Drosophila melanogaster: one gene and its partner. The gene in region 1 interacts genetically with each later gene. Each region holds a gene or a part of one and is shown on either strand. Other genes may lie near its edges.

Region 1 (5,097 bases):
CGTCCGGGAATGCCTGGAATGCCCTATATGCCTCCACTGATGAACCCCATGATGGGCATGCGTCCGCCACCGATTATGAATCCCATGGCCATGATGGGACCACCGCCTCCACTGGGCACTATACCCGGCGTCCGTCCAGGAATCATGAACGGACCCAAGTGAACGCCCTCAGGAACGGCATCAACGTTCACAGCACAGATGGAGTGCTCTCCTTGCGATGTCCTAATTAAGCTGTAGCATTTAAGTAAGCCCGATAGCGAAAACAATTAATTATATACATTTATATAAAGCAAGTTGACTCAACAAATGGTTGTCTTTGTGGGTGGAAGTCAATAGAGAAATAAAGTATATATATTTAGGTCAGTAATGAGAAGCGCATGCAGTCACATTAGAGTTCAGCAGGCATAAGATCACGCCGCTTTTACGGTGCACACATTATTATGACTTTAAAAAACCCCGCTTCAGAAAAAGATAACAAAAATCAATGCTAGAGAAGGCATTTAATGATTTCATTGTCCAACACAATATAGTTAAAATGCAAGTGAACTGAAATGCTAACACAAAAATAGTAGGTGCCTTGCCTTTAACATAAACATTCACAGTTTTTATTACAATATTTTGAGCTTACATACTAGTTGCTGTGAAGAGAATATAATGTGGATTATAATTGTTAATATACGAATGTGTTAATCATTGGCTCGAAGTGTAAGTTTCTGCCTTTGTCCCGCGAATCGGCTCGTCTAGGCCTCTTATAATATTATTTTAAACGTCTGTACTACACACAATTAGGTACTAATGGGATAATGGTTATCTGGCGACCCTCTGGCGCTTGCTGGGCGACACCAGAACCGGCGAGGGCTGTTGGTTACTTGAGATGGCGTCGAATATGCTGCTCTCCGAGCGCTGGTACTCGGTGCCAATGTTTTCCAGGTTCAGATCGGCATCGAGGACTAGGACCTGAGGAAAAATGCATATTTAGCGGCTTCGGTAGATGTGAGCTTGTGTAGAAACTACCTTGCACGACTGCGGTCGTCTCTGGTGTATCAACCAGTCCTCGTGCAACTCATGCAGCTCCTGAAGGTACTTAAGCGGCACGCAGCTCTCCTCAGAACGAGCCCGCTGCCGGATGCGTTCGTACGCCACCTCCGGCGAGGTGCGCAGATATATGATGAGGTCCGCCTGCACGTGAATGGACTCTTCGATGAACTTGTACCACTCCTCCAGCGTATTGTACATGCCCTGCTCCAGCGAGCCGTTTCGTCGCATGTTCTCCACGAAGCAATAGCTGCGGCGCGATGGGTAATGGATAAGTTTCGTTTAGCGTTTCTGGTCAAACCGGACGACGGGAATAATGCACTCACCGAGCGCTAAAAATGGAGCGCTCCATTATTTTTAGCTTCTTGTTGGTTGGGGCGGTGTGCGACTGCAGCATGGTCAGCGTGACATAACTCTGAAAGGGCATGGCCCACTTCTTGGGATCTTTGTACATCAGCTCCAGCAGATTTACCCCGTTGACGTTGCGCCACTTCTCGACGGGCTCGGTCAGCAGGCAAATGTCGTTCTTGTACTTCTCGAAGTGGTTCAAATACGTGGTCTTCCCGCTGCCGATGTTGCCCTCGATGAGGACGGTGAAGGGCTGGGTGCCCTCGGCGTACTTGGTCCCCTTTCGGGCACAGGATGCTGCCTCCGCCATCAGTCCGGATAATCGGCGATCTGCACGTGAGATTGGGAGTTTTACTAACTGTTTTAGGTACAGCACAGCAGCAACGGATCGCGGTTGAAGTTGATTGTTCCGGATTCGATGGAGTACTGTACACGGCGGCGGGAATATGGTGACTGATTCAACCCGCCTGGTCAGATCGTTTACCGCCGAAAAACAAAAAGAGCGGGAACATCGCCATTTGTTTCTTTTTTTTTTAATCGGTGTTACCTATCGTTATGCTTGTTTTTGTCAACCGGCTGATCGGTAACTGTGTGTGTGTGTGTGTGTGTGTCTATTCTATTGCCGGTAATGTTTTTACATACATCTTTACAAAAACTTAAAGTTTAAGCCAATGCTGGTTGAATTACCTATTAATGATATAATGTTTTTCTGCCACATGTGCTTGCTGGACATTGCTGTTTTTACAAATTTATTAAATACAAATACCACTGATAGCAATAAAATTAAACATTTATTGCTCACAACTTTTATGGCCTCTTATTTATTTTATTTAACGTTGTGAAATGAATTTTCTTTTTGCCTATACTGAGAATCAGCTGTCGGCGATAACGATAACGGTCAGCTGTTCTGTGCATAGTATCTGTTTTTCGCCATCCCTACGACGACGCATTTTTTATCAATATTATTGTACATTTTTATAAACCTGTATTAAAACTTATTTTTAAAAGGAATCTTAAACCGGGAAATTAGTTTACGATGTCCATAGAAATCGAATCAGCGGAGTAAGTACTGTAAATCGACCAACACCACTCAGTTTTTACTAGATCCGTGATTTCCCCCCCAAACAAAGTGTGATTCGGCTCATCCAGCAGTATCTGAAGGAGTCCAACCTTATGAAGACCCTGCAAACGTTACAGGTTAGTACTTACACACCGCGGAGAGAGTTTGTCTTTCAATGATCTTAAACTTTCAGGAGGAAACGGGTGTCTCCCTGAATACGGTGGACAGCGTGGATGGCTTTGTGCAGGATATCTCCAACGGGCACTGGGACACCGTGCTAAAAGTGACCCAGTCTCTCAAATTACCGGATAAGAAGCTGCTCAATCTATACGAGCAAATAGTCTTGGAGCTGATCGAGCTCAGAGAACTGGGCGCAGCAAGATCTCTGCTCCGCCAGACGGATCCCATGACCATGTTGAAGCAGCAGGAGCCCGAACGATACATCCATTTGGGTAAAATATAAGCCATTCTAAGGTTTCACTAGAGTTCGTGATTCCTAATTGGTATATTTGTCTGTAGAAAACATGCTGCAGCGCGCTTACTTCGATCCCAGGGAAGCCTATGCAGAGGGAAGTAGCAAGGAAAAGCGGCGCACGGTCATTGCCCAAGAGCTAAGTGGCGAGGTGCATGTGGTGCCCTCCTCCAGGCTCTTGGCACTCCTGGGACAGGCTCTTAAATGGCAACAGCACCAGGGACTCCTTCCGCCCGGCACCACCATTGATTTGTTCCGCGGCAAGGCGGCGATGAAGGACCAGGAAGAAGAAATGTATCCCACCCAGCTGTTCCGACAAATCAAATTTGGCCAAAAGTCGCACGTTGAGTGCGCTCAGTTCTCGCCGGATGGTCAGTATCTGATAACGGGCAGTGTGGACGGTTTCCTTGAGGTGTGGAACTTTACCACCGGCAAGGTGAGAAAGGATCTGAAGTACCAGGCGCAGGACCAGTTCATGATGATGGAACAGGCGGTGCTGGCGTTGAACTTCTCACGAGATTCCGAGATGGTGGCATCGGGCGCACAGGATGGCCAAATCAAGGTGTGGCGCATCATCACCGGTCAGTGTTTGCGTAAATTCGAGAAAGCCCACACCAAGGGAATAACCTGTCTGCAGTTCTCGCGAGATAACAGCCAGGTACTCAGCGCATCCTTCGACTACACGGTGAGACTGCACGGGCTGAAGTCGGGAAAGATGCTGAAGGAGTTCAAGGGGCATTCCTCCTTTGTGAACGAAGCCACCTTTACGCCTGACGGACACAGCGTGCTCAGCGCATCTTCCGACGGCACAGTAAAGGTTTGGTCCCTTAAAACGACCGAGTGCGTGGCCACGTACAAGCCCCTTGGCAACGAGTTGGCCGTAAACACAGTCCTCATTCTGCCCAAGAATCCCGAACACTTCATTGTCTGCAACAGATCCAATACGGTTGTCATTATGAACATGCAGGGCCAGATTGTGCGATCCTTCTCGTCGGGTAAGCGCGAGGGCGGTGCCTTTATCTCAGCCACTCTTTCGCCGCGAGGAGAGTTCATATACTGCGCTGGAGAGGATCAGGTGCTTTACTGTTTCTCCGTCTCCTCCGGTAAACTTGAACGTACTTTGAACGTAAGCTGCTCTTTAAACTATTTGTTTTCAAACTGACTTTAAACGTGATATTTATTCCATAGGTTCATGAAAAGGACGTCATTGGCCTGACACATCATCCGCATCAAAATCTACTGGCCAGCTACAGTGAGGACGGCCTGCTGAAGCTTTGGAAGCCTTAGACCATATAAGCAATTGACTTTCACACCTAGTTAGTTTTAGTTGGTGGTCTTATTTGAGCTGCCGAAATATACCTACTGACCCCAAAGCGCTTGCAGTTTTTTTCTCATGCCCTCAGCCATTCCTCACATCAATATCTTCAATCTTGCCTATATGAAACAAATTGACTTTAATTAAGCATTATGCAAAGCGCCAATCTCTCAGAGCGCTAATCCACAGAGTTTCCCTCAATTGCCTCAATCCAGCACCTAAATTAGTCGAGCAGCGACACTCAGCCGGTTCACTTGCAACATGAAGAGCGACGAGATCATCGAGAAGATACGCAACAAGTTGAAGGAATCGGATCCTGCCCGGCGCACCGTCGTCAACACGTTTCAGTTCAACTTCACCGATGCGGATGGTAATCTCATCAAGAGCATGGGTGAGTGGGAAAGAGGATGCCTGGTTGTGGGTCAGCCCACCGTTGACCGTCTCATCGTAGTCTTTGATTTCAAAGCGTTGGACATCTACGAGGGGAGTGCCACCAGTGTCGATGCACAGGTCACCATTTCCGATGAGGACTTCTACTTGGTGGGCACTAAGCAGAAGACTTTCCAGGAGGTGTTGCAGCAGGAGAAGGCTAAGATCGATGGCGATGAGGAGGCTATCAACAAAATGCTGGAGAAGTTTCGCATAAATTCTCAAAACTAGCTCGGTGTCAAAAGTAATTATGCATGCATTTCGTTTATTATATGCGACAATTTAACGTTTATTGTTTATTCACTTCACCCCAATAATAAATTATAACAAATTAAAATATTTCTATTTAATTCTAAGGGAAGTCAAGAAAGAAATTAGTAGGAGTTACAACAATTAAAAAATAAACAATTATCCCACCAAAAAATGTAATCAAATCGT
Region 2 (4,322 bases), 9.9 Mb from region 1:
CACTTCAACTGAAAGCTAATCTGCAGGCTTGGGTAGGTGGAGGGTCCGACTATAAAGATGTCTTCACCCAAAAAGTTTGTTTCAAAATGTGCTATTAAACTACAGATTTCGATCATTTAAGTCTTACTTTGGTTTCCTTAGATTTCGATCGTCCACTTCACTTGGTGCAGTTTAAGAGCCCACTATTGACCAAAGCTTGTACTCCATTGTATTTTGAATGCCTACCCCCAAACTAAGCCACACAGAACGGCAGAAACGAGAACATAAAGTAATGAACAGAAAACTTGAATTCAATTATGAATGATATTAAATGAGAAAAACATAAAAACTTATTAGCCACATATGTACGTACGAAGGATGAACATAACTAATGAACAAACTTGTAACTAAATACTTCTACATATTGAATAAAAAGAATGATATTAAAAGGTAAAATTTTTGACAAATAAGAATCAGGTTGGTACATATATGGTGTTACATACAAAAACTTATTTATTTCAATTAGGGCAGTGACAGTTTTTTTATTTGACCAATATGTCTGCGTAGTTCCCCACCCTATCCGCCATCTGTATTTGCTCCTGTTCGCTGGCGAATGAATGATGCACTGCCTCCAAGGTCAAATCGATGCATTGTTCACGGGTTAGACCGAAAGTTTCCGCAGCAATCAGAAACTCCTTTGTCAAAGTGGTATCAAAAACGCCACTGTCGTCCGTGCAGATAACCTTGGGTGCATCTGCCTCCATGATTCTTTTCAAGTGGTGCTCCTCCAAGCTGGGCACTGTTCCCGACTTAACATTACTAGTGAGGCAGCATTCAATGGCAATATTTCGTTGTTTAAGCTGCCCAATGTCCTCGGGAGTAAGAAAAGTTCCATGTCCACAGCGGGACATTCCAAAGTGCAGCATTTCCTTTACCTCCGATGGATTCTCGATCTCGGCGCAGTGTATAGCTAACTTCAGACCCTTATCCCGGGCCTGTGCAAGAATAGGAGCAAAGTCGGAAAACCGCCCCTTCCCTGGATTACCGCTAAGATCGATGCCTAAGATAAGATTTGGATGAGCCCGTGCCAACTCCACAGCCAGGGAAACTGTTTCCTCAGCCACGTCCACTGGTTCCGCTCGATTGATGGAGGGCAGTAGCTTGACTGTTATCTCTGGATACGTTTCGCTAGCTGCCTTAATTGCATCGATCACGATCTGCAGGTAGTCCCTGCGTGAATAGTTCTCGTTTGCCTTAGGAGTGGTCCTCATTTCCACATACTGGACGTTGTCCTCAGCGAAATCTCGAATCGCCAACTCCGTGGCAAATCGCAGACCCTCCCGGGTGGAGGTCAACTCGTGCACAAATGCAAACTTCTCGAAGCATGCATCCATATCCTTTTCAAATCGGCTGAAGTGCGCGCACAACTTCAGGAAATCTTTACAAGAGGTTCCATACAATCGCTCGCCAAGATCACATAGGCTTTTGATGCCCAAGGAACCGTTGAGGTGAGCATGGAGCTCTACTTTGGGCAGACCTTTAAGAAACTGCTCCATTTGTAGTTTAACAATAATAACAATACATTATGAGAAACAGTGATGCTAAATGTGGAATCGATTTTCAAATATTCGTAATTATTCGGAAAAAACGCTAAAAACGCTAATCTTCCATCACTGTAAACATGTTATCGATTACAGTACGGAGAAAAATCAAAAACACAGCCAACCCTGGCAGGCAAAACCAAGAAGAAGCACAATTTGTAAATATAGATTTTCTCTGCGAGTTTTCTTCGAATTTTCTTCGCCATGTCGGATGCCCACTTGGAAGCACCGCCTTCGGTGCGACTAACCAACGATGACTTCCGCAAGCTGCTAGCGACGCCCCGAGCTCCTCCTCCTGGCTCCGGGACGAGCAGCACCTCCGCTGGAGGATCTCTGGCCACTGCTACCTTTGCCACGCCCTCCACCGCCCCCGGCACGACAGGATTGAGTGGCGAAAAGAAGAAGGGTCAGAGCAGCAGCGAGCGGAATGATCTGCGTCGCAAGAAAAAGAACTTCTATGCGGCGCTCAAGAAGCAGGAGGATGTGAAGCTGCAAGAGCTGTCCGAGAAGTACAGGGACCGAGCACGAGAACGACGCGATGGTGCCAATCCAGATTACGTGAACGTGAGCACGCCGGGACACGGAAGCAGCACCAATGCGTATCGAGCTGTAGCGCCAGATATGAAATCCGGAATCGATGCCCAGGAGCGAAGAAGACGTATCATTCAGGAGTCCAAGTTCTTGGGTGGAGACATCCAGCATACGCATTTGGTGAAGGGTCTTGATTACGCCCTTCTGCAAAAAGTGCGCTCCGAGCTGCACTCGAAGGAAGCGGAAGAGGAGGAGATTGCCGCCGCTGTGGCAAGGGAAAAGCTCGCCGAAGCAGCTGCCGCCGCTGAGCAATTGGAAGCGGAACGCCGCGAGTCGGAGGATATTAATGCAATCAATGGTGCACTAGCGCGCAATATTTACAATCTAGTGCAGGCAAGGCGTTCGAAAGAAGTTCCCCGCAATGAGCTATTTGCTCCAGGACGGATGGCCTATGTGATCGACCTGGATGACGAGCTAGGGGAGTCGGATATTCCAACCACACTGAAGCGCTCCAAGTTCGAGGTGCCGGTGTCACAAGAGGATGTTGCCACGCTGACCACCAATGACATTGTGATCAACAAGCTGTCCCAAATCCTGAGCTATCTACGTGCCGGTGGTCGCAACAAGAAGAACAAAAAGCGCGACAAGGACAAACCGCTGTTCTACGAAAAGGAGGTGGAAAATCTTCGTGGGTCGTCTAGCAATGGTGGCTCCAGTCGGCACGCCACCTCGTCCTCATCGAACATGGGAGGGAAATCAGCTCCCTTGGGCGATAATATCTACGACGATATAGGGGACTACCAACCTTCTGCCACGCGACCTGAGCGAAACCGCCAGGAGCAAGGCAAGTCCGCCCCGTCCTACTTTGGAGACGGCCCGCCGGAGGCATCAGAGGAGCCGATAATATCCAGTATTCCCCCGCCACCCAAGATATCGAAGGCCATGGCCGCACGGTTCGCTGAACCCGAGGGATACGCAGAATGCTATCCCGGGCTGGAGGAGATGAACGACGCCATCGACGACTCGGACGATGAGGTGGATTACACCAAGATGGATTTGGGCAATAAAAAGGGGCCCATTGGACGCTGGGACTTTGACACGCAGGAGGAGTACTCCGACTACATGAGCACGAAGGAGGCGCTGCCCAAGGCAGCCTTCCAGTACGGGGTCAAGATGCAGGACGGTCGCAAGACGCGCAAGAACAAGACGGAGAAGAACGAGAAGGCCGAGCTCGATAGGGAGTGGCAAAAGATTCAGGTATGTATATCCCAAAGGATTCGTCGATGATCAATACAAAATATTTATTTTTCTTTGCCATTTAGACAATCATTCAAAAGCGAAAACTGCCAAAGGACGGTGGAGGCGGCGGTGCTGGTGGCGATGAACCCGATTACAAATCCGCAAAGTACTAGAAATTCTTGAAACATTATTCTATATTTGTAATGTAATTCTGTAAAACATTAAATATAAGTATGCTCGTACTTGTATTAATCTTACATGCTCTCAAATATATTTTAGCAACGTTATCACTAATTTAACTGCTACTGGAGTTGGGAACTAAGGGGAGGGTCCTTAGGGAGCTTGGCAGGTTGACTTATCGACTATGTGCGGCAATAGCGCTGGTACAGTGGGATTCAGAACTGTAAGACCGCTGGCGCAACGCGAGTTTAATTTCCATCGAGTAAGGCCAAATGTTGGGGAACTTTAAAACGGGTTCGACAATCAAATAAAATCGATCTCTTTATTTTGCATTGCATTGCTCTTACAGTCCCGAAACGCACTGCTTGTGATTCTCAGTTGGTGTGCGAGCTGCATCTACTTAAGCTGGATGGGTGCACCTAGTGCTGCTCTCTAACATGTAACGTTTCCTGCATGCTTAGAAATATGACACTGATTAAATGTAATTACCTTCGCGGGAATGCTATTCTTAATCACTACGCTAAGTCCGAGTGTGAGGATGGTGGGGCGACTTGTATAAAATGGGTATCGGTAAAGTTTGTATCTTTCAGCTTCGGAAAACCGAAGCTCAGCCCTTTACACTGCCAAGAGTGGTTTGAGGAAATGGGGAAAACAAAGCCGGAAATGATTAAATAGTAGAATTTGTTTCTGGTTACCTAGCTTGAAAATATTGCAGCGATTTCCCACCTAAACATGTCATTAGAATTTATAAAAGTATTAAAACCGTAAAAATGGATTGATCTTCGATAAGAA

What was found.
Region 2: of Smu1 (region 1) and beag, changing one suppresses a phenotype caused by changing the other (phenotypic suppression), as found in Drosophila melanogaster (one study listed by BioGRID).

What each region holds. Positions count from the first base shown.
Region 1 is NT_033777.3:18,978,168-18,983,264, reverse strand, and holds Smu1 (Smu1 spliceosomal factor), read left to right. Parts: upstream 1-1,940; 5' UTR 1,941-2,008; intron 2,009-2,070; exon of another isoform or gene 2,071-2,158; 5' UTR 2,159-2,419; coding exon 2,420-2,445; intron 2,446-2,513; coding exon 2,514-2,580; intron 2,581-2,636; coding exon 2,637-2,895; intron 2,896-2,962; coding exon 2,963-4,041; intron 4,042-4,103; coding exon 4,104-4,202; 3' UTR 4,203-4,285; downstream 4,286-5,097. Other genes in the region: snRNP-U1-C (small ribonucleoprotein particle U1 subunit C), read left to right, coding at 1-162; dnk (deoxyribonucleoside kinase), read right to left, coding at 808-957, 1,015-1,285, 1,362-1,693; euc (eucalyptus), read left to right, coding at 4,492-4,621, 4,682-4,890.
Region 2 is NT_033777.3:9,062,452-9,066,773, reverse strand, and holds beag (beag), read left to right. Parts: upstream 1-1,695; 5' UTR 1,696-1,784; coding exon 1,785-3,368; intron 3,369-3,433; coding exon 3,434-3,523; 3' UTR 3,524-3,642; downstream 3,643-4,322. Other genes in the region: Ada (adenosine deaminase), read right to left, coding at 522-1,535.